Linked DNA regions of Notamacropus eugenii. The protein of the gene in region 4 binds, or shares a complex with, the protein of the main gene of each other region. Links are inferred from orthologs where the notes say so. Each region holds a gene or a part of one and is shown on either strand. Other genes may lie near its edges. The genes, in order: NUP85, NUP160, CETN3 and NUP153.

Region 1 (7,617 bases), on a different chromosome or scaffold from region 4:
TATTTAGTTCCTGTCAACGTGCTGTACTGAGCGTTTCTTTTGGGTGTTAGGAAATAAATACCTGTTCCATAATGTATATAGAATAGCTTTTTAATTTTCCTTTTTGGGGAGATCTTAGGCACAAGTCAAAACCTGATCTTTAAGTAGTTTTCCCCAGAGGTGACTATGCTATAAGACATAATGAGCTAAAGTAGATGAGAAGAAAAAGTCTAATCTCCCTTTTAGAGTCACTCAGGTTCTTCCCATGACTAAAAGCAGTCCAGAACATGTACATAGATAGGTCTAGAGCCAAGAGGAGACCTTCATTAGAGAAGGGAGGGGCCTCAGTGCCTTTTGCTGGCTTGAGTACAGCAGTGTCTTAGTGTTCCACAAAAAAAATATGTTAATTTGTGTTTTTCTCTAAGTCAATATGCAGCTCAGGGATCCCATCTATTTGAGTTTGATACTACTGATCATGAATCATTCAGAGCTAGGTTTGGCAAACAATTTCTGTGCCCCATTTTGGGTTGCAAGTTTGCTGTGAATTCACAGTACACAATTAGCTAACATATCAGCAGAGACAAACTTTACAGGTAATGTTCCACACCCATAATCTTCCACCTCAGCAAAGAGAGGAAGGTGAATTTTCTCATCACTTTTCTTGAGCTATTGGGCTAAGCTTGGTCATTATAACTACAACACATTCAAGTTTCTAGGTCATTGCTTTGTTGAGGTGAGAGAACCATGTGTTGAGGCTTGGGGTGCCTGGGACCCCAAAATACTGACAACCCTGGGTCCTACCCAAATGAATTTGACCCAAGCCTTTTTACAGCCAATGAAAAACAAAGTTTATTAAAGATCCGTCATGTTGGGTTAACTTATGAAGGCTGGCCGTTTTTGAGGTTTGTATTAACAAGTGGGCCAGATAGAATCTCAGGTAGACAGAATCAGAACTGGATTGAATCAGAGCACCTTCATAGAGACAAGAAAGAGCTTATATACAGAAAGACTGTGCGAGGGATCTGGGGGTGGTCTAGTGGTCTAGGGTGATGGGAAGAGGGTTTAGGGAGGGTCTTGAGGAGGAGTCCAATGAGGATCTTAATGGGGTTGGAGTGACAACTGGTCAGAATCAAGACAGTAGGATTCTGATGTGATCAGGGAGGAGTTAACAGACAATGGAGGGTTTATAGAATAAAAGATGGGAAGTAACCCGAGGCAATCTGGAGGCAACCAACAAAGGAGGGCCAGGCTAGGTTAAAGGTAACCAATTTGGGTGGGAAAAGCCAGATTTTAGAGTTCAAAGAGGTTCCCAGAGACTATATTCCATTCTTTTATTATTGTTCTTTCTTTCCATTTGCATTTTTTGGAATCATTGCATTTATTTTCCAGTTTCTGCTTACTTGACTTGACATTTTTTCATGTAAATCTTCCTATGCTTCTCTGATTTTGTCCCCACAACTCAAGATACTCCATATTCATAAACTAGCTATTGAGCTGTTTCTCATTGATGGGTGTCTCTTTGGGATTATTCTTCTCACAAGTACAGATTCCAGGGGAAAGTGGGCTTCAGTTTAGATGGCATATGTGACAAAATCGAAGCTCTCAGGAATTCTTCTGCCACAGTCCTTAAGTATGGTTGAACGTTTCTTTTTTGTAAAGCCTTTAGCCTGCCTTTCCCCACCATGCTCAGGCTGACCTTGCTTCCTGAAGCAAGACATTGTCACTTCAAGGATGCCATTGGGAAGATGAGAAGTACAAAATCCTCCACTAGTCCAATCAAAGTGGGACTAGGGGCAGGAGAAAATCAAGGCCAGGGCTCTCTCTGCTCTTCCCTGGATTCCAAAAGATTCTTTCTGTGGAGTATAGCTGGAATGCTCTCTCTTCTCCATTGCTGGGGACTTGAATCTCTCAAGCAAAAACTGGCTCAGTATTTTATAGATGGCCCATAGGACATAACTAAGTTTCCTCAATCAATCAGAATACATTTCTTGCTATATTTGGAGAGATATCCAGGCCTTCTTTACATAAATGAGATGCGTTCCCACCTGTTAAATGTAATAGGGGTATAGCATCTTATTACTTTAGGTGGGAGTGGAGTGGATTTATTCAAATGTTTATTCAATAATTTATTCAAATTATGTATTGATCTCCCCACCTTCACTCTGCTCTTCACTCAGAGGCCCCTTAACTCTCAGCACCCTAGAAGAGCACCTGGAAAAATTACTTAAAGTTTAGGTTTGGCTCATGTCTAGGGTCTCTCTGAAACACAGGATCCCTCTCCCTTTTTAAAAGAAATTCTAGGATGAGCAAACCCACCTGGTTGGGCTCGGTTTCTCCCCAAAAAGGGGAAGGTTAAAAGGTCCTGGAGATAAAATATTAATGAGATCTAGGACAGCTATTTATTTCCTCTACACAAAAGAAAGGCTAAAAACAAAAGACTCACAAGTGTCCTTAACGAGGAAGGAGTAATGATAGTGGCTGGAGCAATTTAATGTTTGCAAAGGTCTTTACAAACTTTAGCTTATTTTGCCCTCCTCACAACCTGAAGAGGTTGGTGCTATTTATCATTGCCATTTTACAGATGCGGGACCTGTGGCTGGTAAGGGTTAAGTGACTTGCCCAGGGTCAGGAAGTTTATAAGTTTCTGAGGCCAGTTTTGAACTCAAGACTGAGTTCCAGGGTTCTGTCCACTGTGTCCACCTAGCTCCCTCAGTATTACTGTTATGTTCTCCTGTGAGACTTGAACAAAATATAAAACATTTTATGGGTCTGCTGAATAGACATTTTATCTTTCTCTTAGGCTCTGCCCTTTTCAAACAAATCTCTCCAGGTCCACTTCTACTGGCAAGTCAGGCCAGTCATTCTCTGATGTAGAAACTCCTGCTGCAGGTCAGCTCAGAGAGACCTCAGTATGATCTCAGACTCTGGAATCCACACAAGATTGCCTTGGAGGCAGGCCATGTACATCTTGGGCAAATGGAAAAGCTAGTCAGGAACTTCAAGGTTAAGTTCAGCTGGCCTCATTGCCATATATTAGCAGATGTCAGGTTGTCAGAGCTGATGAAAGGGGCTACCCTTTCTTTTTCCCTTCAGGGTAGTCTAAAGAGGAAAAGCACTTATCACCCATAAGGTGGAAAAGAGAGACAGAGAGCAAAATACCTCCTGGCTTATTCGCCAGTCCTAGCTGATACAGGTTTGATGTCTTTCAACCACTGGGAGTGAGAGACCATGAGTCTGCTTTGTCATTCCAAAAAGACAAACTCCAGAGAGGAGTACATTTTCCTAGAAGTGTTAAGGGATGCAATCCCCATCACGTAACAAGATGTTTAGCTTTGGCCATAACATCCTGCAAATTCCCTTCTAATCTTCATGTACCTTCACAATTAAAAAAAATATATCATTGCAGATGCTGTTTTCTAACTGAATAAAGTCACTCACATTGTGTTTAGTGATCAGATTTATTCGAGGTGTCACTTATATCCTGGTTTGGGGTTGGTAACCTCTTTCCCATCAAGGGCTCCCAACTCTGGGTTCATTATGCTATCAATCTAGAGTTGTACCAACTCTGGGGAAAATCTCTTAAACAAAGCCTAGTTTTGGCTCTTGTCCAGGTTCTGCCCAGAAGGGATTAGACTCCTACAGAAATGCTCAATGTACGAAATAGATTATGTACAGGACCGCTATTTATTTCCTCCACAACAAAAGAAATGCTTAAAACACAAAAGACTCATAAGCACTCACTGAAAAATATTTAAAACATGAAACAATAATCCATCAGTTCTATTACACTCTTCTGGGAGATAGGAAAAACTTACAGGACAGTTGTGGAACAGATAAACATTTCATTTTCAGCCCAACCTACACTGTCTGAACAACTCACTCATAGCCCCTGTCTTCTGGTCAGCCAGCCCACCTGGCTCCAACCTCCTAGACATGGTTTTCTTCTCCAAAAGGGGCATGACTACCAAGCAGAACCTCCCACTGGAATATCAGCACCCAGACTTCTCCATGACTCTGGGCTGCTCCAGCTCAGTCGGCGGCAGACAGGTGCCTTCTCCAGCTCATCTTACAAAAGAGCAAAGTGGGCAAACTGGGTTAAGTGACTTGTCCAGGGTCACACAGCTAATAAGGGTCTGAGAAGAAATATGAGTCTTCCCGACTCCAGGACTCTATCCACTGTGCCTCAACAACCACAAAGATCCCTCCAAGTAAAATAAAGTGAATGCACCGAGGGCATGGTGGTGGGGGATTTTCAAGTTCCCTGGGACAGCTGGAGCGACTTTAAATCAATTTAAAACCAGTGCTAGGGATAAGCAGTAGAGTTGGAACCTGGAGTCAGGAAGACCTGGGTTCAAATTCAGCCTCAGACATGTAAAAGCTGCGTGCCCGTCACAAGTCACTGAGCCTGCTGGCCTCAGTTTCTTCTTCTGTAAAATGGGGTAACAGCAGCCCCTACCTCGGGGTAGCTGTGAGCCAGTCCTTCCTGCCATCCTCATCCTCACTGGAGCTAGTTTCTACTGCGTGGCAGCGTCTGCCTTCATGGGTGCAGTCACAGCGGCAGTTTCCACCTCCGCGGATGCCTCCTGCACGGGGGGCACACCGCCTGCCGGCGGGGTGCGTGCGGAGAGGGCCCAGCACGGGCTAACCCGCGGGGATGGCTCCAGCTCGCCACAGGTCCAGACTGCCTCTCCACCCGCAGCCGCAGGGGGGCGCAACCTGCCCGCAGATCCCAGGCTTCCCAACCCCAACGAAGACCCGACGAAGAACTCTCCCGCCACCTGGGGAGAGCCGGGCTGCCCACAGTTATGCCCGGTGTCAGTGAGACGGATGGAAGCACGGACGTGATGCTTCAGCATCGGCGATTTCGGAGGGGCGGCTTCCAAGCCCCAAGTGGGGAATTATCTTTAAGGGTGGCTGATGTGAGCATGCGCACGTATGCGCTCAAATCCCGAGCGCCCTGACAGGCACTTCCGCGGCCAGCCGGGCGCCGGAGCGGGGTCCTTCGTAGGCGCGAGATACGGGGCCCGGGTGCTTGTGGCGGCCCTCGAGTCCCTGGTGCTTGCGTTGACCGGACCGCCAACATGGAGGAGCTGGATGGTGAACCCACGCTCACGGTAGGTTCCGTGCCGAGGGACCAGCAGGGCCAGGGACAGCCGCGGGTGGTCCAGGCGCGTTCCCGCCTTCCGTCGGAGGTCGCTGCCCCGCCCCTCCAGAGGTCACGGCCCGGCTCGGGCGCGCGCTGCAGCCTGGCAGGGCCGGGTCGTGAGAGGCGCCGGGTTGCATTTCCTTTGTTTCCCGCTCGCGCCTTGGCCACGCCCACGCACGTGGGTGTTCCTCCCTCCCGCGCCCTAGGCGGGCCTCCTGCCCTCTCTCTCCCTCCCCTCCCCCTCCCCTTCTCACCTGAGAAACGCCGCTCGGGTTTTCCCGGGGAGTCCTCGGGGGTTTTCTTGGTTGTCGCGCTGGCTGCGTCGCGTGGTGGGCGGGGTGCCGGCGGTGGAGTCCGGGGGGCCTGGGTTCGAGCACGGCCTCGTCCCTTTCCCGTTTCTGTGATCCTGGTGGAGTCCCTTAGCTAGTCTGTAAATGGGGGTAATGACATCAGCCGGCGCTTCGCGGGGTCGGGGTCGCCTTGTAAAGCGCTTTGCAAACCCCGGGCCGGTCACTCCGCAGCAGGGGGACATCCTGGGGCCCGCCCCCCGGGGTGTGGGCAGGAGCGGAGGAGAGCCGTGAAGTGCTGGGTCCGAGCGGGGGGCCGCTCGTCCTCCCCGGGTAAGTGCGGCGTGCGCGTTAGCTGTCGTTGCTACTGCTGTTTAAGCGATGGCTCCTCAGCATCGTTATTATCGACAGCCGTCCCCGCTATCTGTTATAGTAGAGTGAATGACTGACATGGGAATGCTTCACGTGGTTGAGTGATTGCTCGCCATCCCAGGGCAGGGGGGGAGTGGGAAGGGAGGGTGCTAGAATTAGACAGTTAGAACCGCAGTGCTTGCCCTTTACCACACAGTCGCACCATCTCTCACGGGCCCCTCCGCACTTGTGTGACCTGCGTGGCCGCCACCAGCGCTGGGGCTTCTCCCGCCTGCTGAACCGGACCCCATTCTCCTGAACCTGGTCATTCAGGGGCCTCTAGTGGTGCAGTGGACAGAGCACCAGTGCAGGCGTCAGGAGGGCCTGAGTGCAAATCTCACCTCAGACACTGGACACGCCACTAGCGGTGTGACCTTGGGCAAGTCACTTAACCCCAGCTGCCTCATCCTGGGTCATCTCCAGCCATCCTGATGAATATCAGGTCACTGGATTCAGGTGGCTCTGGAGGAGAAGTGAGGCTGGTGACCTGCACAGCCTTCCCTCACTCAAAACAAATTCAAGTGCAAGTCATGTCATCATTTCTCTGATGGCATGATCTTCTTGGGCAACGAAGGACGAACACACGTATATTTAGTCTCAGAGAAAATCAGAGATGTTTTCACAGTGGCTGTGGAAAGTACTGGAGAAACCCTTGTCTCCTCTGACTTTTTCTTTGTACTTTGGTTTAACTCCATTTTGAAGCAGGGACCAGGACCAGGTTTTTGTTTAGTGCTGCACTGAGTATCTGGTGACTATGCCATCAGCGAGTTTGAGGTGAGACAGTAGTATACGGTCATCCTGCAAGCTTCCCCCACTCTGGAACCTCACCCTGTTTTCCTCATTATATTTCTGAGCTGTTGGCATGACCCTTCTGCTGAAAGGTCATACTTGACATATCTCTGGTCATGGCCATTCAGCTTCTCTAAGAAAGAGAATGTATGGGTCGAACTAGATGTCCTTGAAACTCACGTCCACTCAATAGATTCTGTGAATCACTGCTGAAGCTAATTAGGCAGAAAAAAGGATACACGTAGGAAGGAGTGCATGTTGTTATTTCTATAAATAGTAATAGAATAAAGCAATTAAAAAAAAAAAGTCACACCCCACATAGATACCAGCTGATAATCTGCAGAGTTCATGACAATCTTGAAATGACTGAAATAATGCTACTTAAGAGTAATACTTATTTTTTAAACTGTATCTTATTGATGCCTTTTGCCTTTGCACCAGTCATTTCCAACCTTCTCTAGATTGCACCTCTTAATTGTGGATACTCCAGGATCCTGTCCTGGGCCCACTTCTTGTCTCTTGCTTGGTGACCTCAGCAGTTTTCATGAGTTTAATTACCATTTACAAATGATTCCTAAATTCTACATATCCTGCCTGAGTATCTCCTGAGCATTGCTCAGATATCTCTGTTGGATATTTCAAACTAGGTTGCCTATAGACATCTTAAACTCAACTTCTCCAAAACAACTCGTTTTCTTTTCCCTCAGTCTCACCCAAGTTCAGTTCTCCTGATCATCTCTATTTCTATTGCGCATCCCCTTCCTTCTAGTCACTCAGATTTTCCATCTCGGTGTTGTTCTGAAGTACTCATTCTCTCTCATCACACATATAGTCACTCAGTTGACACATCTTGCCATTTCTGTGTCCATGACATCCTTTGCTTCTGACCTGATCTTTGTATTCACATAAACACCAATGCAATTCGAACCTACATCACCTTTCACTGCCATGGCCTCTTAATTGGTCTTCTTACACAACTGCCAAGAGATTTTCCTAAAAGTGCAG
Region 2 (7,652 bases), on a different chromosome or scaffold from region 4:
TGCTCATGGGTTTCCCAGGGCTCCACTCAGGCCACCTTTCCTCTGCATCTAAAAGCTGACCTATACAATAGACCTGCTCACAAATCTTTCATGGCTTCATAGTTCAAAGTTTGCTGCCCGACATTCAAGGCCCTCCACAGACTTTCCAGTTTCCTATAATACCCATCCCCTTCCCCAGCCAGACTTTTAATTTTTATTCTATCTCCAAGCACAAGTTTTCATACCTTAATGGCTTTATAGGCTATTCCCCAAATTGCTATGTTTTTCCTCTCCTTTATCTGCTGCATTTCCGCCCACCCCTTACAGCTCCACCTGATGACTTCCTTGAGGAAGTCTTCCCTGATCAAGACCTGGTACAGAATGATTGTCACCTTCACATCTCACTTGGAACTTCTCAGAGCAGAGCTAATGCACCTACCATGGAAGACTGTATTCTAAGGTGTCTTTCTTAGGTTCCTACTAGACCAGACTGCACAACTTGGCAGTAGGTAGGGGCCAAAATTAAAATAGGCTCAACTTCTTCTAGTCACAGATAGGTTCATACTAGAGACAGATCCATGATGGTTGGTTGCTGCGAGTCATACGACAAACAGGAGAGTGTGCAGTGACAATTCTACATTTTTCGAGGGCTGCCTGAAATCTTTTGATGGACTGCAAACAGACCTATATTAGACTGTAAACTTTGTGAGGAAAGATTAATATCTTAACTATGGATATTTTCCCCAGAACCTATCACCATGTTCTATGTTACTGTAGAGTACAACATATTTAATGTCGGTCATTTTTATTTCCTACTGCCTGGGACCATAACTTTATGGTGAGAAAGGTCATTCATTAGAGATTATATAGTCCAACACCCTCATTTTACAGATGTGGAAACTGAGTTCCAGAGATGTTAAATAATGGGACCAAAATCCAGAATTTCTTGTTGTTACATTTGTTCTCCATATAACCTAGAAATCAGATTTTTTTAAAGTCTCTTCCTATTCTCACAAACCATTATTCCCTTAGGTACGATCATCCCCTCATACTAGAGTACATGGCCCAGACCTCCTTCCTTCTGTAACACTCACCAATGAATGAACCTGTTTCTGGTGACGGAGAACAACTTGCTGCTTTCCAAGTAGTAGAAGCCGCCCGCGCTCTCCACATACTTCACAGCTCCGGACAAACCCACGAGTTCTGCAAAGGGAACATCGGGGCAGTTCAGCACATGTCAGAGCTGGAAGGGACTCTGAAGCACTGAGTGTCAGGTGACCTTAGAGCCTAGAACATCAGAGCTGGAGAGGGCTTTGGAACGCAGAATGTTAGAGCTGGAAGGGACTCTGAAGCACTGAATGTCAGGCGACTTTAGAGCCTAGAACATCAGAGCTGGAGAGGGCTTCAGAACGCAGAATGTTAGAGCTGGAAGGGACTCTGAAGCACTGAATGTCAGGCGACTTTAGAGCCTAGAACATCAGAGCTGGAGAGGGCTTCAGAACGCAGAATGTTAGAGCTGAAGGGACTCTGAAGCACTGAATGTCAGGCGACTTTAGAGCCTAGAACATCAGAGCTGGAGAGGGCTTCAGAACGCAGAATGTTAGAGCTGGAAGGGACTCTGAAGCACTGAATGTCAGGCGACTTTAGAGCCTAGAACATCAGAGCTGGAGAGGGCTTCAGAACGCAGAATGTTAGAGCTGGAAGGGACTCTGAAGCACTGAATGTCAGGCGACTTTAGAGCCTAGAACATCAGAGCTGGAGAGGGCTTCAGAACGCAGAATGTTAGAGCTGGAAGGGACTCTGAAGCACTGAATGTCAGGCGACTTTAGAGCCTAGAACATCAGAGCTGGAGAGGGCTTCAGAACGCAGAATGTTAGAGCTGGAAGGGACTCTGAAGCACTGAATGTCAGGCGACTTTAGAGCCTAGAACATCAGAGCTGGAGAGGGCTTCGGAACGCAGAATGTTAGAGCTGGAAGGGACTCTGAAGCACTGAATGTCAGGCGACTTTAGAGCCTAGAACATCAGAGCTGGAGAGGGCTTCAGAACGCAGAATGTTAGAGCTGGAAGGTTTCTTGGAATATCGAATGTCACGGTAGGGGAAACTTTAGAACGTGGACTGAAGGAGCTGGAGATTTAGAACGCAGCCCCTGAGGGGTGGGAGAGGACTGGAGCACTGGCCCCTAGGGGCTGGAGGGCCTTAGAACATAGAAGGTGAGGGGCAGGGGGGCCCTAAAACGCGGCCCCTGAGGAGCGGGGGGGGGGGGGGGGGGGGGGGGCCCTTAGAACGCAGCCCCTGAGGGGCGGGGGGGGGGGGGGCCTAGAACGCGGCCCCTGAGGGGTGGGGGGGGGCCTTAGAACGCAGCCCCTGAGGAGCGCGGGGGGGGGGGGCCTTAGAACGCGGCCCCTGAGGGGTGGGGGGGGCCTTAGAACGCAGCCCCTGAGGAGCGCGGGGGGGGGGGGGGCCTTAGAACGCGGCCCCTGAGGGGCGCGGGGGGGCCTTAGAACGCGGCCCCCCAGCGGCGCGGGGGGGGGGCCTAGAACGCGGCCCCTGAGGGGCGCGGGGGGGGGGGCCTTAGAACGCGGCCCCTGAGGGGTGGGGGGGGCCTAGAACGCGGCCCCTGAGGGGTGGGGGGGGCCTTAGAACGCAGCCCCTGAGGAGCGCGGGGGGGGGGGCCTTAGAACGCGGCCCCTGAGGGGCGCGGGGGGGGGGGGGGGCCTAGAACGCGGCCCCCCAGCGGCGCGGGGCCTCAGCACAGCCGGTCCAGGCCTCTCACAGCCCGGGCTGTCACAGCGCGGCCCGCTCCGGTGCCTGGGCCCAAGCCCCCCGGCACGCACGGGGACACTGAGGCACGGAGAGGGCCGGGGTCCCGGGGCTCGCCCAGTACCGGAGCCGCAGACGGTGAAGTCCCGGAAGCGCCGCTGTGTCTCCCGCTCGGCGCCGCACAGCTCCACGAAACTCTTCTCTAACGCTCCCGCCGCCGCCATCATCCCGCCGCCGCAAGGCCCGACGGGACGCGCGGGCCCACCCCTCGGCCTGGCGTCACTTCCGGCGGCGCCGCGAGGCCCTGCGAAGCCTCGAGCTCGGCCAGACTCGGCGCCTGGCGGGCCCGGCGGGGCGCAGGAAAGGATGGAGCTTCGCGTCCCCGGCCAGAGCCTCTCTCGAGGCCATTTCCGCCGGCCTCCCCAGGGGGCGGGGCCGGAGCTGGGGCATTTCCTTGCGCAGGCGCAGAACTGATGGGGGTGGTGCTGCGTCTTGGTAGGGCGGGAGGGCAGGAAGCTGAGGCGCATTATGGCAGACTTAGAGCTACCCGGACCCGACAGGCCGCGTAGCCGCCGCAGTCTCACTTTACAGATGCAGAAGCTCAGGGCCAGCGAAGTTAAGTGACTTGCCCACGGTCCCACACGTGCTTAGCCCCAGCGGTGGGAGGTGAATCCGGGCGCCGCCGGCGGGCCCAGGGCATAGCGCCCTCCTGGAGTCGGGAGGACCTGAGTTCCAGTTCCGCTTCAGACGATTAGCTGCGTGACCCTGGGCGAGTCGCTTCACCCTGCTTGCCTCAGTTTCCCAGCTGTCCAATGAGCTGGAGAAGAAAATGGCCAACCCCTGCAGAATCTCTCAGGAAAACCCCAAATGAGGTCGCAAGGAGTGGGGTATGACTGAGCACGAACGGCAGACGCTCCCCAGGGGGGCGTCCTGGAGGAAGTGGGGCCGGCCAGAGAAAATGCTGGGTCTTGTCTGGTCTCTGGATGGAGGAGGAAGGTGTGGGAAGATTGACTGTCTCTGACCTTTGTATCCTCAGGGCTTAGCACCTCGTAGGCTCTTCATAAATGCTTCTTGACTTCTTGAGAGAAAATTGGAAAGTGATCATTTTTTAGGGGTTCTTTTCAGACTTCATAATTTTCTTCTCTGTGCATTCTCTTGGTCTTTATGGCTACTTTTTACACGTGTGTCTGTTTTAGGGGCTTTCCTTGGGTGCTCGGTATTATTCTGAAACAGACGTTTATGGAATGCCAGCTGTATGCAGAGCACTCTACGGGGCCAGGGGAGGTGCTATGCTATACACTATGTAAATCAAAGCTGTTTGGTTGTAACCTTAGTCAGGTTACAATGTATCCAAATGTGTCTGATCAGACTCATATGAGCTCCGAATGCCCTAGCGCAGGTGGGACACACATAGGAACATTTGGACTGGGTTCTTGAGTTTGCATCTCCAGTTTCTTTTGGGCTGCTTCAATTCTGCTTTGCTCAAAGTGCCTAGAACCTCTGATGAGGGCACACCATGCTGGGTGGTCCTGTGTCAGCATCTCGTAGTCATATAAGCAATTCCAAAGTTCTTCAGAGACATCTTGAGAGCGTCCTTCTGACCTCCGTGTAAGAGCTTGCCCTGTGTGAGTTCTCTGTAAAATAGAATTTTGGCATTTGAACAACGTGGTCAGTCCATCATAGTTGTGCTCTCTGCGGTACATTTGAATCTTTGGTAGTTTAGTTTGAAAAAGGACCTTGGTGTCTGGTACCTTATCCCACCGAGGTGATCTTCAGAACCTAAGACAATTCAAATCGAAGCAATTCAGTTTCCTGGCATGGCACTGGTATAATGGCTCTGTAGACCTTCAGTCTGATCTACAATGAATACTTCTCCTCTCTCACACTTTCCTTTGGAGCCCCTGTAAGAGCAAGCAAAGTAGGATTTTTGTTGTTTTCTTTTTGGAGTTCAGTTTCCTAGGCTCAGGCTAAATTGAGAACATCTGAATGCTCAATCTCCTTTGAACCCCTCTAGTTCACAGCTGTGCTGAGTTACATGGGTTGTGATGCCTGCTGGCTCTGAGCTTATTAGTTGAAAACTATATAAACTGGGAGGTTGGTATTTTTGTGGGGGGGGGGGGTTAGTTTATAGAAGGACCTTTGGATTCTTTGGACGGGACTGAGTAGCTGTTTGTTAAGAACCCATGGACTACTCAAAGGTTTGTGTTCACCCATCTGGTGGTGTATGTAGGTGGTTGTCTTACTTTGTTCAGACAGAGAGAACTGTGTCTGTTGAATCTTTGTGCTAATTCTCTGCTTATACTTACTCTGTATTTTCTCCACATTCAGGGTGCTAACCTTTCCCCTGAACTAGTGAATGACATATATGCTTAATTAAAGAAAGATTGTTAAAGCTGTCTTTCCTGTATAAAGCATATCAAAGAACCTGTGCTAGCAGGTCATTCTGGATATGCTAGGGTGCTTGGTAATACAGCCTTTCGAACTCTGAGCTAGCTCTGGCAATGGGTGTGTCAACTTCAGTGTCAATGTGTACATCCCTAGAAAGTATATTGACAAGGTAATCAAACTTATTTATCCACATCATTCAAAACTCCATTTGCTGTAGCCGATGATTCCACCTATGGGTGGTATGGTGCTGGCTGATGGAGTACTTGTGTTTTCTTGGTGTTGGTTGTTAGGCCAAAATTAGCACAAGGAGCAAAAGCACACATTACCAGAGCTAGCTCAGTGTTTGGGAGGTTCCAGAGTACTGGTGGAACCATTGCTCATTTATGATATGTAGAATATTGTATAGTAAGTACAGTGCTTGTGAGGTCTGGAGGGGAAGGTGGTTAGTGAAAGAAGGATAAGCCTCCATGGAAGGAAATAAGCTCCTTAGTAAGATTTTACAATACACTCCACTGGGGCAGGGATTTTTTAAACTTGTTATTTCTCTCAGCCCAGCAAAGTGTAGACAACAGGAGCTTAATGCAAGCTTCTTTTGAATTTAATTCCTCTGTGGTAATGAAATGAATACAGGACTTTGGGTTCCTTGAATTGTAGATGGTTAGTAATAGCATTTCTTTAACATTTGATCCGATCCATTTTGAGGTTTTTGATCAATTGGTATTTATGACCCTCCTTCTAAATATCAGGCACTACACTAAGAGCTGAGGATACAAAGAAGTCAAAGACAATGCCTACCCACAGAAAGCTTAGTCTAATGGGACAGACAACAAACGTACAAACAGGCTGTATAGAGAATCTCTATCCCAAAACAATTTGAAGTAACGAGTTTTGAACAAGGAAAAGCTCATAATACTTGGTGTCCCAAAATCTTAGTACACTTTTAAGCTATTAAAGTTATATGTTAAACATCCTGCATGATAGAATACAGTTTGGGGATCAACATCATAGAACAGGGGTGGGGAACCCTGTCCTAGAACAATAGGATTTTATTGTCTATTTATTAAAACTGCTTGTATTCCTCCCCTAGCCATCCAAAGGCCAAAAGGCTTCTTTCCTCTAACCAGTCCCCTAATAATTACACTGGATTAGCAAAATCACTTATGAAGCCCATTATTGATGTGCTAGGGACTACGCTGGGAAGGCAAACACAAGCCGAAACAGTCAGAAAGTTAATCACCTGCTGCATGCCAGGCGCCTTGCTAAGTGCTGGGAATTCGAAGAAAGACAAGACAGCCCCTGCTCATGATGGGATGCCAACTGCTATGTGGAAATAAGCTCCATATAGGATGAATGAAAGATGGGGGAGCGGAAAAGCGGGGCTTTTACTTTTTCACACTTTTTAATTTATGGAATAAAAAGCATTTATGTAACACAGCATAATAAAAAGATGATTGCCCATGAAACTGCAGCTCTGTTATGCATGGCTTGTTGTTCCTTTTAAATTTAGAATAAAGTTAGGTAAATTTCTTTTTTCTTCTTTTCCTTCCCTCCCTCCCTCTTTGCCCTAAGGATGGCTACCATTAGACACAAATAGGTATATATGTATATATACATATACATATATGTAAAATTTTTCTATACATACTTTTATTTATCAGTTCTTTCTCTGGATGTAGATAGTATCTTTCTTCATGTATCCTCTAGCGCTAATTTGGATATTTATCACAGTCAAGATGACTTATTCACTTAAAGCTGTTCTTAAAACAATGTTGCTTTTCCTATAGACAATATCCTCTTGGTTCTACTCCTTTCACTTTCCATTATTTTATGCAAGTCTTTCCATGTTTTTCTAAGATCATTGAGCTCCTTCTTTCTTGTAGCACAGTAATAGTCCATCACAATCATAAACCACAACTTGTTCAGCCAGTTCCCAGTTGGTAGGTATCCCTGCAGTTTCCAGTTAGCTGGTACTTAAGAAAGCCAGGGAAACAAAGAGGTAGAGATGAGGAGGGAGAGCATCCCATGCATATGGGAAATTGAGGGAAAATGCCAACAGGGGGGAAATGGAGTTTCTGTACAAGGTGGAGAAGTTGTCCAGAGAGTCTGAGGCTGCTTGAGAGCGTGGCTGGTGTGAACACTTCCTCAGATGGAGGTTTTGGGGAGAAATCCTTTCAGAATGCGGAAGAAACTGTCCTTAGAGGATTCTTAGCACCGATCCATGTATGTGATGGGGAACCAATGATCATAACTAGACAGGAGGTACTTTTTATTCTAAGTTTCATTCTCACTCTCAATCCATTTCCTCAAGGGTTTTGGGCTGGAGAAGTATTTACTTCATAATATTTTCCATTGATCTTAAAGAGGACCTTTAAAATATACTTTTGAATCAGTGAGAAGGTCCCTTAGTACTAGAGATTGCCATTGATATTGTCAACCTGAATTTAAGGCTAATATTGCAAAGTAGAAGTCTTTAATCAGAGTGAGCTGCAGCCCAGGATGCCACACAGCAAGTGCTGGGATACC
Region 3 (7,154 bases), about 260 Mb from region 4:
TTGGCAATGGTAGAGCAGAAAAGGAGTGGAAAGCTTAGAGATTTGGTATACAGCACTGCATTTACTCACTTGGGTCAGAACACTCACAAACATCAAGGTTGGTTTGACAGAAAACAATGGGGAAATTCAGAAGCTGCTAAATGAAAAACGAGAACTCTACAAATTTTACCAGCAGGATAGTTCATCCATCTCTAAGAAGGCATCATTTAACTGCATCAAAAGTAGAGCACAAGTGAAGCTTTAGCGAGATGCAGGAAGGATTCTCAGTTCAGTAACAAGGTAGATGAAATAGTTTAGTTTCAACCCAAAGCACTTTAAAGATATCCTGAAGGCTATTTATGGGCCAGACATATGGTGCATCACAACTACTCAGTGCTGATGGAGCCATATTGATTACTGACAAGGATATAATCCTTAAATCATACCAGGAATAGAACAGAGGTCTGTATACAACATTCATCAATTTGATCTGACCAAGGTCTTTGATACTGTCAAGTGTTGGTGCATGATTTTTTTTGTTTGCAGATGATTGTTCACTCAGTGCAGCCTCTGAAGCTGAGATGGAAAAAAAGTATAGATTGATTTTCTGCTGCTTGTTCTAATTAATTAATACCAAGAAAGCACAGGTGCTTCACCAGTCAGAACCACATCATTCATACATGGAACCATCAGCTACAGCAAATGGAGAAATTCTGAATGTTGTGGATAAGCTCACTTACTCTAATAAACATCGCAGATGTACATATAGATGATGAGATTGCCTCATTCATTGCCAGGGCTAGCTCAGTGTTTGGGAAGCTCCAAAGTGTTCTCAACAGACTAGCAATCAATGGTGAAGTCAACTTCTCTCTAGACAAATCTCCAACTGAGGAGGACATTTTGAATACCTTTAGGCTGCTTTCCTGTGACGAAGCACCTGGTGCTGATTCTATTCTAGCTGGGGTTTACGAGGTGCGTTGAGGGGTGCTGGTGGTGGTTGGACCACTGAGCAAACAAAACCTGGCTGAAATTTTCCACATTATACAGCAAGAGAAGGTTATTCCTCAGTTCAAGGATGCCTCCATCATCCATTTCTATAAAGGTAAAGGAAAGACTGTCCTGTGACAATCACAGTGCGGCTCTCAGATCTCTTAGTAATTGTTGGCAAGATTCTTGCCAGAGTCCTATTTAATAGGCTAATCCTTCACCTGGAAGATGGTTATCTACCATATGAAGCCAGCTGGCTTCAGAAAGGGCTGGGGTATGGTTTATATGTTGTTTGCTGCCCTACAACTCCAGGAGAAATACCAGGAATACAACAGAGGTCTGTATACAACATTCATCAATTTGATCTGACCAAGGTCTTTGATACTGTCAGTTATGAGGGTTTATAGAAAATTATGTCAAAATTTGGCTGCCCAGAGAATTTCATCAGTATTGTACATCAGTTTCATGATGGCGCACTTATCTGGGTTCTGGATAACGGACAATGTTCTTGTGCTTTCCTAGTCACCAATGGAATGAAACAAAGCTGTGTGGTTGCTCCCATGTTTTTTGGCATGATGTTTTCATCAGTGTTGTCAAACGCTTTCAATAAAGACAAACGCAGGGTCATGGTCAATCACCAGCACTGATGGAAAATTTTTCAACTTGAAAAAGATACAAGCCAAGACCAAAGTAGAGGGAGTGTTGGTGCACGACTTTTTTGTTTGCAGATGATCGTGCACTCAATGCAACCTCTGAAATACATTGATTTTCTGCTGCTTGTGCTAATTTTGGCCTCACAATTAATACCAAGAAAGCACAGGTGCTGCACCAGTCAGCACATCATTCATACACGGAACCATCAGCTACAGCAAATGGAGAAATTCTGAATGCTGTGGATAAGCTCGCTCACTCTAATTAACATTGCAGATGTACGTATAGATGATGAGATTGCCTCGTTCATTGCCAGGGCTAGCTCAGTGTTTGGGAAGCTCCAAAGGAAAGTGTGGGAGAGAAAAGGTATTAGACTGCCTACCAAACTGAAGTTCCATAGAATCCTTTGTGCTGACTTCCTTGCTGTATGCCTGTAAAACCTGGACAGTAAACCAGTACCATGCCAGGAAACTGAATTGCTTCCATTTGAATTGTCTTAGGAAGATTCTGAAGATACATGGCAGGAGAAGGTACTGAACACTGAGGTCCTTTCTCAAACTAAACTGCAAAGCATTCAAACTCTACTGCAGACAGTGCAACTCCAACGGGCTGGCCATGTTGTTCGAATGCCAAAAGCATTTTTGCCAAAAAGACTATTTTATGGAGAAGTCATATAGAGTGAGTGTTCACACAATGACCAGCAGAAGCGATTCCAGGACACTCAAGTTCTCTCTGAAGATCTTTGGAATTGATTGAGACATGGGAGACACTGACACAGAAGGTGCTATGCTCTAAGAGCAAAGTAGAATTGACATAGCTCAAAAGAAATGTGAGATGTGCAAACTTAAGAGTATCCACTCCAAATGTTCACATGGACTATTTGTTCCTGATCTGCCGCAGGGCCATTCTGAGCTTGTACTGGTCTGATCGGCCACCGTTGGACACACTGTAACTTGACTCTAACACAGTGATGTTATTTTGGTCCTCTTCTGAGAACAAAGAACAACCAACCAACCGACAGTGCTAGAAACTCTTAAGTGAAATAAATATGAACTAATCTCTCTTACACATGACAGCTCTTCAAACATTTTAAGCCAGCTATTTTATCCCTCAAGGGTTTACCCCAGGCTAACCAGGATCAGTTCCTTCAATCAATCTTTTAGTGTTGTCCTGTCTCCAAATCTCTCATTTCCACACCTTCTCTCTGATATTACCATTCTGGTTCAAACCCTCATCACCTTCTGCCTAGACTATTGCAATAGCCTGCTAGTTTTTCTCCCATTTTAGGTCTCCGCTCATTCCATCCTCCTTACAGCTGACAATGCTTTCCCCAAAGCTCATCACTTTTCTACTCAATAAGCTACAGTGGCTTTCTAATGACTCCAGGACAGGGATGGGGAACCTGAAGCTTCAAGGCCACAGGTGGCCCTCTAGGTCCTCAAGCCTAGCCCTCTGACTGAATCCAAACTTCACAGAACAAACCCCCTTAATAAAAGGATTTGTTCTGTCAAACTTGGACTCAGTCAAAAAGCTGCACCCCTGGACCAAGAAGCTCAGGTGTCTTCAAGGTCCCCACCTCTGCTCTAGGACCATCTTTATCTCATCCTCTAAAACACTTATTTCCGCCTAAGTTTTATACTGCACATAATTATTAGTACAGCAGCGCTTGTATGTAATTCATAAGCAAGTAGATCTCCTCATTTTTTTATCAGCTAAGGTGCACTATATAGAAAAGGTAAGCAGGGTCCGTGGTCTTTTCGATCCAGTCCACGCCCCATATACTTCTCCCTGCAGTCTGGCCATAGTGGGTATAGACTTCAAGCTTGTCGCATCGAGCTGAACTGAAACCCGCTTTGGGGTCCGTTTGCATAGACAAGGCGGTGGCTCGGTGGACACAGCCACGGGCCTGGAGTTCAAATGCAGCCTCGGACCCTTCCCACCTGTGCGACCCTCAGTGAGTCTCCTAATCCCGATTATCGCCCAAAGCGGAAGCGTGGGGGGCGCTGCAGTGTCTCTGCCGAGAGGAGCCCCAGTGGGGCCGGGCACGGCTCAAACGACTCGTGAGGCACGGGAGACACGGGGGCCTCTCCGGTGCGTGGCGGTCTCTCCCACACAGTGGCCTCTCCCGCGTGGCGGCCTCCCGTGCGTGGCGGCCTCCCGTGCGTGGCGGCCTCTCCCGCGCGGCGGCCTCCCGTGCGTGGCGGCCTCTCCCACACAGTGGCCTCTCCCGCGCGGCGGCCTCTCCCGCGTGGTGGCCTCTGACACACGGCGGCTTCCCGTGCGTGGCGGCCTCTCCCGCGTGGTGGCCTCTGACACACGGCGGCCTCGGCGCTAAGGGGTGGCACGGCCCTCTCACTGGAGGCTGAACGCCAAGCACAGCCCAGGGGAGCCCACGATCTCCCTCTTTCCCTCCCCCTCTGGCTGTTTTTCAGGCACGTTCCACGCCTCGCGCTAGAGGCGCCTCGCGCATGCTCCCTGTTGCCGTCGCGAGCGCTCCGCCCCCTCCTGCTCCAACGGTAACCGCTTCCCGCCCCTCCCCCTCCCCGTTCTGACCGTCCCCGCAAAGAGTTTCGGGAAGACGCGTCCAGCCCGCAATCTGACCAATCTCTCGGGGGAGGGAGGCGGGTGCGGACGGGAAAGCCGGGAAATACTGAGGATTGACGCACGGCCGCGTCCAATGAGAACCAGAGTTTAGTTCGACTCTCGCCCAGACGGACCCGAATCGAGGCCGGGGGAGGCGGCTGCGGCGCCTGGAGTGGTGTGCAAGGGCCGGAGGAAGCGGCGCTGCCCGGGGCGGGGGGGGATCTCGTCCGTGGCTAAGGCCTCTGTCCGAGGAGAAAATGAGTTTAGCTCTGAGGTCGGTAAAGAGGGGGCGGCCCAGCCCCCTCCCCCTCCCGCCCCGGAGCGGGGCCCCACCGGCGGGCCTGGGGGGGAGGGGCGGGGAGGGAGGAGGGGCGGGGAGAAGCCGGGCCACCTTGCCCCGCAGGCTGAGGAGAAGCTGCAGGCGGGGCCGGAGCCCGGGACCCAGGTCGAGCTGCGGCGGGGCGCAAGTATCGCGAGAACTCGGGCCTGGGCCTCCTCCGCTGCTCGCCTGGGAGACGCCCCCGGCACATACGTCCTCCCTCCCGTGCCTCGGGCCGACCTGGCGCCGTCTGCGCGTCTCCTTCCCGCTTGGTTGTTATTCTTGGCCTCCTCTCACTCCCCCCTTCCCCATTCCGTTGATGCCATTACAGAGAGAGAACGCAGATTCTTAACGTGTGGCGTCCATGTCTGATCGGAGGGGGATGTACCCAGGGGGTAATGTGGGGAAGCCAGTGGGCCCTTTCAGAAGAAAATAAACCAGGAATACGGAGAGTTATCCGAACGTCGGTCAGTTCATGCCCTCTCCCCAGGCCTTTTGTTGAAAAGGGACGCTGGAAATCACCCAGTTTATCCTTTACTTATGAAGATGGAAGATCTAGAGAGGCGAAGTGATTTCCACGGGAGTTTTAAACTTGGGTTCTTTTCTGAAAAATTCAAGCTTCTTGACCATGTCTGCCTTTCTCCTTCTCTATGCGAGGCACTAGAGTTACAAAGGCTGGTTTTTTTAAGTGGCAGAGCTCCTTAGCGTCATTTACTCCAGAAATTTGATTTCTTTATTAAAACGAACGTTTCCTCCGATGTCCTCACTCGGATCTCCGCTCTGGCTTTGCCTTTCTCTGTCTCTTTCCCCCCTGCACACATCATCCTCCCCCATCCAAGGTTTCCATTGATTTTGTCAGTTATTCTTCAGAGCTGTGCTCAGACACCCTTTGATGTGGGGTGTCAGTAAAACAGAATTATATACCTCTTAAGTCAAGGAGAAATTTTACAGGCCCTAATTCTGAAGGTAATGCTATCTTCTGATCTTCCTGGGAGATTTCATTGTAGTCACACCTACACTGTAGAAGTCATAACAAAATTATTTGTAGTATAGGATTAGAAGCTGTGTTAAGTGAGCTGTCTTAGAGTTTTTATTGAAAATTCTTTACCTTTTGAAAACTTGTGTGTTATAATGCTGCATTCCAATTTACTTGGATTTTAGACATTTTAAATGACAATTTAAAAAGTTTAGGCTTTTTGATACTTCATTTCTGTAAAAAGATAAATTCAGTTTCCTTTTTGTCATGTCAGCCTTTCCAGAAGAAGACACTGTTCTTCAATTGGATATCATAGGTTTTATTTGCGTTTTGTACATGTAACATGGACCTGTGTTTAAGACGAATATCATTTTAGTTGATTTTTGTTATTCAAGGAAAAACAAATGTTTAAGATGTGTAACTTTGCAGGCTAGTATGCCAAAATATTTGGTGTTAGTTGATTTCATGGATCCCTTTAAATTATGTTGCTTAGGTAAAGTAGGAGTTATTTTAGCCACAAGCAAAAGTAAGTCAGTTTCTAATTAGGTTACTTTTGATTATCCTTAGAGTTAGTTTTATGCTGATATAAATGCTACAGAAGACAGTAATGAAAGTTTAAGTTTGGACAGTTTTTTACATGGCTTCAGAAAAGTTACTGTATCATATGAGCTCTCAGGCATTGCTTCATTTGCAAAAGTGTTAAAGGAAAGAAGGAAAATGACTTTCTCTTAGTATGGTATCTGTGAGCTACAGTTTTCTTGGCTCTTTTGTTTTGGGAGACTGAATTAGTTGATGGCAGGGATGTTATGTCCTTAAGTCCTTAAGGTAATTTGTTCTATCTTTGTTCTCTCAAAGTTGTAGAAATTTGGAAAATCATCCTGATATTTATTTGATTAGTTTTCCCTCCAGTCTTATTTTGATTATTGATGAATGCAAATAGAAAATAAAAGTGGACTACATGATTTTCTATTTTCTCTTTTTTCATGTCATAGAAATGAGCTTGTAGACAAAACAAAAAGGAAAAAAAGACGAGAGCTGTCTGAAGAACAGAAACAAGAAATAAAAGATGCTTTTGAGTTATTTGATACAGACAAAGATGAAGCAATAGACTACCATGAACTGAAGGTAAAAGTAATTCTTTTAAAGTTGGTTTGTATCTGTTGGCAGTGACCTGAAAACTGCTTTCTAGTTAATTTTATACTTAATCTGTTTTTGGAACTCAACTGTTACGGTATAGCTTTTGCAGTAATGTGCCAGGTTGTTATTTAATGGTATCCTAACACTTTTTTCTTTTTTTTTAGAAAATAATTTTTATATAGTTAGGTTAGTCATTCAGAAGGCAGTTAGTGTTACACCTTCTGTATACCAGGCAATATGCTAGGCCTTGGGGAAATACAAATTAACAGCCTTTTAAATTATAAAAGATCATTACTGTGAAAGGTACATACTTTTCAGTAATAATATTAGAGGATCTTAAACTGTTAATCTGCAGGTATTTATTTAGCATTTAAGTATTCTATTTGGAGGTTAAAGGGTTTTTGCTTTCAAAGTCTCTCCTCTTCATTAGGCCCAAACTCTTGTATATTCTGCTTTTGAAGTGTGAAAGTGATCACACACACACACACACACACACACACACACACACACAATTGCAGGTGT
Region 4 (8,000 bases):
TGTTCACCTATGTAACATCTTTCTCAGTACCACAGTTTTATTTTATCCACACAAGTCCTTCTTCTGATCAAAACACAATCTAAGTATTCCTCTCCCTAGTATATAGAACAGGAGGCTAAGGCTCAATTTCAGAGATTTATCTATGCTCAAACTGTGAGTTAGAGGCCTCTGAGTGGGGATTAAAATTCAGACTCCCTGACAAAGCACACTGGTCTTCCAAGATATTTGGCAATCAGGCATTTTCTGCAAATGCCTAAGGGGAAAAAACTAGAGGTAAGAGGAATTCCATAGACCTGTGAATCTTTAATTAGAAAGAAGCAATAATAATTAGAAATAAACTTTCTAATTGGTAATATCCCCAAATTCCTGGTTTCTATAAACCTGTGTTTAGGAAAATAATCTGTAGGTTTTTCAATCATAAGAAATGTTATAAAACATAAGCTTAGCATTCCAAATCATTTGAGACGTAGGATAGTATATAGATAGTACAGGACTTAGAGTTCAGCAAGTCACAACCTCTGAATTTGTTTCCTCCTCTGTAAAATGGGTAAAATCTATTCCACCACCTTCTAGTACTATCCCGTCAGAGCTGTCATGAAGAAACTAAAGTAAATAACATCACATACATTTGTGTGAATGTGTGAAATGTGTATTTCTTTGAAAATGTTAAAGCAATATATAAATACCAATTATTTTTATTATCTGGAATAATAATCTGATTATTACTCTGATCACTTCAACAGTAGGTACTGATACCATGAGTCATTTAAAATTTCATGTAATCAACTCACTAGTATATTAAATAGCAAATTACTTACTAAACCAACTTAATTAACTTCCTTTCAAGCAAAAAAAAAAAGAATTTATCTTGGTAACTTTTTATGGATCAACTAGCTGTGATTTCTAAGATAGCTTAGTTACCCTATTATTTTCTTTTACAAAGGTTGTCCAATAACTGCCAACTATATATATATATGTACATGTGTGTATATATATATATATATATATGTATATATATATATATATATATATATATATATATATAAAATGGCTATATTATTTGTCACTCTCCCCCACAAATGGCAAAGAACCCAAGCTTTTAAATATCCTCATCAAAATGAAAATCTGTATACCAGAAATCAAAACCACATGTCTTGATCACCTCTGGATAACTACCAATTCCAAACTCCAAAACAAGTAAAGGCAGAGGAAAGGCCAACCCATATAGGACACATATAAAAAGAGGGATTTTCAAAATGCACCCACTGCCAGTGTCACTATAACTCTTTCCCCAGAAGGTGATCCACGTGGACCTGGGTTCTTATGAGATCTAAATTAGACTTTTAAAAGAATGGGGACTGAAGTACAAATAAAACAAATACATGAAACAAAATCATCACTCCCAAGAGATGTGGGGGTAGAAAGTGAGCCATTGCACCAAATTTATTCAGTCTTTTCCTCTACTTCCCTTTCTATTCTAGGAGTCTTGACAAGACATAATGAACCCGAGATAATTTCCGATTTTACCCTAATATCCAACCCCTCCCATACACCCCTCTTCCCTCTACCCCAAAAAAAGGAAGCAAGGTCTGGAAATACAAACAACCTTTAACTAATTCACTCAGAATACCCCAAACCAAGATACATATCAGGAGATGGAGTGGCTGGCAGTAGCCCTACCACATATACATTTATTTCAACACTAGCCTGCTGAATTCACCCCATCTCTGGTTCCAGAGGTCCCCACCCCACACATGCCCCAGTTATATGGGGATGTGTGTGCACGAGTGCACATGTGAGGGAAGATATGCATTTTGTGTAGAAGTAGATGTAGGTGGGTGTGTAAGGGAAGAGGCATGTATGAAGTGGAAGATGTGGGTGTGCATGTGTAAAGGAAGAAAGGTGTGTATGAGGGAATGAGTGTGTGGTAGAGATGTAATGTGTAGGGAGTCAGTTAAGTACCCTGTATAATGGAAGATGAGACTGAGTGTGGGTGTATGTGTTTGTGTATAAGGGGGAGGTAAGTGTGTTTTAAGGGAAGATGGATGTGTAAGGGAAGATAGATAGGTTTTGGTTGGGGGTATGCTGAGTGAAGTCAAGGTATGGGGGCATGTATCTTGGGAAAGACAGATGTGTGTTGGGTAAGTTGAGGGACACAGTTGGGGGACAGTGTGTGATGGGGGTGTTGTGGAAGATAAGGGCACAGATGTGGTGTGTGTTGGGGAAGACAGACGTGTATTGGGGAAGAGGGGCGCACAGCGGGAGGGAGGAGTTGGGGGACCTCTGGTGCGCGAAGCCAGATGTGTGTCATGGAAGAAGCCACAAGTACCCTGAAGAAGAAGAGGGCACAGTAGGGGGTGTATTGTGTGGTGGGGGGGTGTATCGGAGGAAGACAGAACTGTACTGGGGAACGGGGGCATGGTGAGACTGTGTGTTGGACAAGACAGAAATGTCCTGGAGAAAAGGGGGAATTGGGGGGACAGTATTGGGTAAGAGCAGAGTACAGTGGGAGCGCCGGGAAGCGGGGCGCACGGAGGTGGGGGGGGGCACAATGGGCTGTGCGTTGGGCAGCGTGGATGCTACGGTAGCAATGGCACGTGTAGACGTGTGTGAGAGGAGGCGGACACTGCGCGCCCAGGGGGAGCGGGGGAGGAATGTTGCGGGGATGGCGTTGGTGGGGGCAGTGCGGGGGTCCCGGGTGAGGGGGGCCCCGGCGGTTTGGGTGGTGGCTGGGAAGGGCTGGGGGCGCCCAACGTGGGGGTCGGGTCTGAGCCCCGGGCTCAGCTAGGCCGCGGCCGCCCGGCAGCCAGGCCGGGCCCGCCCCGAAGCCCGTCCTTACCTGCTGTTGCTGCTGCTGCCGTCCCCGCGGGTAGGGCTTGGTCGGGCCCTGGTGGCAGCGCCGCGTCCGGATCTTGCCGCCGCCGCCCCCTCCTCCTGCTCCCGAGGCCATGGCGGAGTCTCGGCCTCTTCCCGCTCCGGGGCGGGGAAGGGAGGGAGGGAGGGCGGGGAGGGGCGGGAGAGGCGGCGGCGGCGGCGGCGGCCTCAGCGGCCCCCCCACCCCCCGGCCCCGGCCCAAGAGCCCGCCCGGCCCGCTCGCCGGGGCACGGGCACCAGAGGGAGCGCGAGGCCCGGCCGGCGACGGGGGAGAGAGAGAGAGGGCGCGCGCGGGAGGAGGAGGGAGGAAGAGAAGGGAGGGGGGAGGGAAGAGGAAGAGGAGAAAGAGAAGGGGAGGAGGAGGTGGAGAAGGGGCGGCGGCGCCTGCTCCGGGCCCCGCAGCCCGCCCGCCTGCCCGCCCGCCCGCCTGCGGGCACCCGCCTCTGTGCGTGTCACGGTCTCTATGGAGATCTCCGGGGGGAAGCCGGCGCGCGCGCGGGCTCTCGACTCTCGCGCAGCTCCCGGCGCCGCTAGGGCCTAACGCGACCGCCGGGCGGTGATCCTTTCGCTGTTTCCGCCGCCTCAGCCGCTGCTGCCTGTGCCTCCCGCCCACCCCTCCCCCCCGCGCCTGGCGCCCGCCCCGCCGCCGCCGTCGCCGTCGTCGTAGTCTTCTCAGCCGCCGCCGTCGCTACCGTCGCTGCCGCTTTTGCTCCTATTGCTGCTGCAGCGACCGCCGCCGTCGCGAGCCAAAGTGGCGTCACTCTCTCGCGCCGGGTGCGGCGCGTCATCGATCCGCGCCCGAACCCGAGGGGCGGGGTGAGCGAGAGGAGAAGGGAAAGAAGGTTGAACCGGCCCGCGCCGCGCGTAGGGCTGACGGGAAATAGAGTCCGGCCGAGGAACGCCGAGTTTGGAGGTGGGGGAGGGAAGGAGGCCGGGTTTGTTGGGACAAAATGAGGCGCCAGCTTCTTGCGTGTTCTCCATGGGGCTCGGATTCAGCAGAAGCGCGCACGTGCTTTTTACTGGGAGCGGGGTCCTCCCCCCCTCCCAGACTCTCCCTTTTACTCTCCTTGCCCCCGGGGGACTTTCCCGACACGTTACCGCCGGGGGCCTCCCCACTTCTGAGCGTGGGCCTAAAGGGCGCTGGAAGGAAGCAGCCCCCGCGTCCGTCATCCCCTGCCGGCCTCTGACGTACCTCCGTCTGGTAACCTCCCCTCCTTTGGCCTGGTTCATGAAGTGCAGGGGATGGATGAGATCCGAGTTGGGGGGGCGGGGTTCAGAGTTGTTCGGGACTATTTGGCACTCTAGAGATCCTTCTTCGGAACAGTGTTTTTAAACGCGTAAAATAAGAAGCGTAGGACTGGGAAGGACCAGAAAGTTAAAATAGGTACAAAATGTGTGTTTAAGATTTCGACCCCGGCCTCTTCCAGCTGTGATCACTTTCACCGTCTCCTAAAAGTGGACAGCTTATTTACGGCCCTCCGGGTCGGCGGCCGGAGCGATCCTTACGGGGCTTTAGCTTAAGTCTTAAAGCGTAACCAACGTTGACATTGACAGGCTTCCGGGCTCACCGTTCGTCTGCAGGACCAGGCCAGCCCTAGCAGGATCTGCGTCCCTACCATCAGAGAAACTGATGTTCGCTGTCACGCGTGGAACCGCCCCTCCAAGGCCAGACAGAACTGAAAAGCGAAGAGCTTGTCCTCAGTGCTCTCCCACGCCTTTATCTTCACCTTTCTCGCTGATGTCAGGAGAAATCCAATTTTTGAAGGAGCAAAATTTTTTCTCATTTTTCCGGAAGGCAAAGTAACTTAACTGAGGTTGTACAAAGATTATTTTGTAAGTAGAGCGATGAAGAAATTTTTAAGGAAGGAAGAAACGTTGTGATTTGAAAATCACAGAAGTTGCCTCCTGAACCATTGAATTTCCTTCATTAAAAACATTTCTTAAAGTTATGCAACAAAAAGAAATACCTGGGAGAGGTAATATCTTCAAGCCCTTGCTTTTTCTTTGTCAGTATTAGTGAAGACAAAGGCAAAGAAAGGTAAAATCTGTGGGACAGAGGAGGAAAACAACTTATTGTTTTGAAAACACTTTTCTGTGAAATAGTACCTGCAACATTATGATTCAGATAGGTTTTTGTGAGCTAATCTGGTACTAAATTCTTAGCACCAAACGGCTGATTTACAAAATTTTGGAACACCATTTGTTTGCAAGTTGGGGACTCCCAGCAGTGAGAATTTGTGTTATGAAAAATTATCCTTGATGATAAATACTGTCTTCTAGCTTTCTGTGGAAAATTATCTTCATTTTGGAGATGAAATCCATTTAACTTATAACTAAAGTGAAATCCATTTATTTAACTTTGAGTGTAATGCGGCATAATTAATGATTTGCAGGCAGATGTTCTGTTTCTATTTAGTATCAAAATCACATGACAGTGGAAGGAAATGGAATTGTAAGTGTGTTACTTAAATAGTATCCAGTCAGCTAAATGGCCTTTTGTGGACTGGTCTGGGAATCTGACCATATGACCATTTATGAGAAAATGTTAGAAGTTCCAACTCAGAACTTCAGGCCTTGAGAAACTACCCCCATCTCCTAGTGAGAAGATATAAGTATTTAGATATTGGGAAGATTCAGCCCCAAAATATCTTCCATAGGCTTCCTTAGTATAGTGCAAGCTAAGATGGGGAATGAGCTACTCATGTGGTAGCAGAAAGGCATCCTCCAAAGAGGCTACCATGTATAAGGGATATGATATTATCAGGTTTTTCTTATCTTTTTTTTTTTTTTAATGTCAGGGACTGTCTCTAACCTGTTATAGGAGTCAGAAAATTTTGTCCTATAAAAGGCTAGGTAGTAAATATTTTGGGCTTTGTGGGCTAGTAGGTAAAATTGAGGATATTATGTAGGTACTTGTATAACAAGAGAGAAAACTAATTTCCACAGATTCTTTTGATGAAATTCAAAATGTAATAGTCAGTAAACACTTATTTAAGTTCCTACTGTGTGCAAGGCACAGTGCTAAACCCTAGGGATAAGAGGCAAAAGAGTCCCTACCCTCAGGGTACTCACCCTCTAATGGGGACTATAACAAATTCAAGCAAACTATATATTGGATGATCCCCAGAGGGAAGGCCCAAGAATTAAGAGGATTTGAGAGAAGCTTTATGAAGAAGATGGGATTTTAGATGGGGATTAAAGAAAGTCAGGGAAATCAGGAGGTAGAAATGAGAGGGGAGAGCATTCCAGGCATGGAGGAGAGGGAGAATGCCCAGAACCAAGAGATGATGTGTTCTTTTTTGTGGAACAGCAAGGAGACCAGTGTCACTGGATGGAAGGGTACATATAGGGGAATAAGGTATAAGAAGACTGGAAAGGTAGGAGGGGACTAGGTTATGAAGAGCTTTGAATGCCAAACAAAGCATTTTGTATTTGATCCTGGAAGTAATAGGGAACTATTGAAGATTATTGCTGGAGGGGAGAGGGGGTGGGGGCAGGGGGAAGAGGGGCAGTGATGTGGATGGACCTGTGTTTTAGGAAAATCACTTTGGTGGTTAAAAAATGGATTGCAGTGGGGAAAGACTTGAGGCAAGCAGACCCACCAATAGCCTATTACAAGAGTCCAGGCACAAGGTGATGAGGACCTTTACTAGAATGGTGATGGTGTCAGAGGAGAGAAGGGAGCTCATTAGAGACATGTTCAAAGGTGAAATTGACAGGCCTTGGCAAAGGACTGGATATGGAGGTAGGGAGTGGGGCAAGGATGTTGAGGATGGCATCTAAGTTGGGAGTCTGAAGGCCTGGGAGGATGATTTTGCCCTCTTCATTAATAGGGAAGGTTAGAGGGAGGAGGTTTTAGGGAAAAAAATAAGTTCTGTTTTGGACATGTATAATATAACTTTTTTTTTTGGTAATATGGTTCTACTAATGAGAAGAACGGAATTCCTTTTTTGGGGGGTGAGGGGGATAACATTTAGTTTAATTTGAGTTCATAGTATTCCCTATCATCAGAATTGCTTGCAAATGCTGATTCATAATCAGATTTTATTTATTTCATCTTGAAAATGTCTTTCTACCCTAAATACTGATATTAATCCACAAACATATGATTTTGATGGAGTATATTCATCAGTTGAAAGGCATTTATAGAATTTCACTAGATTCTTCGTTAGATAAAGAACCTTATTATGTCATTACATTACAGAGTACTCACTTCAGTTGAAGGTTAGGTGGAAGCTCCTCAGTTACTCAGTTAAATGGATGTTAAAATATGGAAATTTCTTTCACAATTGCATTGAAGTCTGAAAAGCACTGCTGGAACTGTAGTCTGAGGCAAGGAAAATATAACTGCTACAAACTTGTGTGAGAATAGAGATCTCACTTCTTGTTTTTACTTTTGACAGCACAGGAAATATTTTTAAAAGTTGACATTACTTGTGATTCAAACAATAATAACTGTCATTAAATTGACCTTACAACAATATAAGTTTCACCTGATAGGCTCTATTTGCCTTGTAATTATTCATTAATAAGCTTTATGAAGTCTGCAGCAAAAGCTAATTTCCAAAGTCATTCAGTGTTCAATAATAGTTGTTGAGGGCAGTTCTCTTTAAGAAATATTTCAATCTCAGCCTGAGGTCCAAAAAAAGTCATCATATGATGATATGCATGGTACTCGAAACACTATTGAATAGTAATTGTCACTGCAATTGGTAGTATGCTGAGCAATGTAAATCGATGAGAGCACAATCATCCCTTTTCTCACTGCTCACTTCTGCAATTGTAGCACAAAAGCAGCCATAGACAATTGTCAACAAGTAGGCATGGCTGCGTTCCACTACATCTTAATTTTAAGATGTAAAAACTATTCTTAACTCACAAGCTGACCAGAAATAGACAGTAAGCTAGGTTTGGCTTGTGGCCATAGTTTGCTGATTCCTAACTTATAGCCAATGAAAATGGAATACAGAAACTAATTGCAGATTATTACCAGTTATATGAAAAAATGCTCCAAATCACTGATAAGAGAAACAACCCTGCAAATTGGCAAAGATGCCAAAAGATGTCAATAGTTGATACAGGAGAGATTATGGGAAGATAGGCACACTTGTGTATTTTTGGTGGTA

What was found.
Region 1: NUP153 (region 4) and NUP85 share a complex: the UniProt entries of both Homo sapiens proteins name them as parts of the nuclear pore complex. The link is inferred for Notamacropus eugenii from reciprocal best matches to the Homo sapiens genes NUP153 and NUP85.
Region 2: NUP153 (region 4) and NUP160 share a complex: the UniProt entries of both Homo sapiens proteins name them as parts of the nuclear pore complex. The link is inferred for Notamacropus eugenii from reciprocal best matches to the Homo sapiens genes NUP153 and NUP160.
Region 3: NUP153 (region 4) and CETN3 share a complex: the UniProt entries of both Homo sapiens proteins name them as parts of the nuclear pore complex. The link is inferred for Notamacropus eugenii from reciprocal best matches to the Homo sapiens genes NUP153 and CETN3.

What each region holds. Positions count from the first base shown.
Region 1 is NC_092873.1:341,248,865-341,256,481, forward strand, and holds the start of NUP85 (nuclear pore complex protein Nup85), read left to right. Parts: upstream 1-4,601; 5' UTR 4,602-5,060; coding exon 5,061-5,093; intron 5,094-5,212; exon of another isoform or gene 5,213-5,745; intron 5,746-7,617. UniProt on the Homo sapiens protein: Essential component of the nuclear pore complex (NPC) that seems to be required for NPC assembly and maintenance. As part of the NPC Nup107-160 subcomplex plays a role in RNA export and in tethering NUP96/Nup98 and NUP153 to the nucleus.
Region 2 is NC_092877.1:3,199,280-3,206,931, reverse strand, and holds the start of NUP160 (nuclear pore complex protein Nup160), read right to left. Parts: upstream 3,004-7,652; 5' UTR 2,969-3,003; coding exon 2,866-2,968; intron 1,183-2,865; coding exon 1,074-1,182; intron 1-1,073. UniProt on the Homo sapiens protein: Functions as a component of the nuclear pore complex (NPC). Involved in poly(A)+ RNA transport.
Region 3 is NC_092875.1:450,247,907-450,255,060, forward strand, and holds the start of CETN3 (centrin-3), read left to right. Parts: upstream 1-4,135; 5' UTR 4,136-4,457; coding exon 4,458-4,474; intron 4,475-6,487; coding exon 6,488-6,620; intron 6,621-7,154. UniProt on the Homo sapiens protein: Plays a fundamental role in microtubule-organizing center structure and function. As a component of the TREX-2 complex, involved in the export of mRNAs to the cytoplasm through the nuclear pores.
Region 4 is NC_092875.1:190,369,553-190,377,552, forward strand, and holds the start of NUP153 (nuclear pore complex protein Nup153), read right to left. Parts: upstream 3,020-8,000; 5' UTR 2,951-3,019; coding exon 2,840-2,950; intron 1-2,839. UniProt on the Homo sapiens protein: Component of the nuclear pore complex (NPC), a complex required for the trafficking across the nuclear envelope. Functions as a scaffolding element in the nuclear phase of the NPC essential for normal nucleocytoplasmic transport of proteins and mRNAs.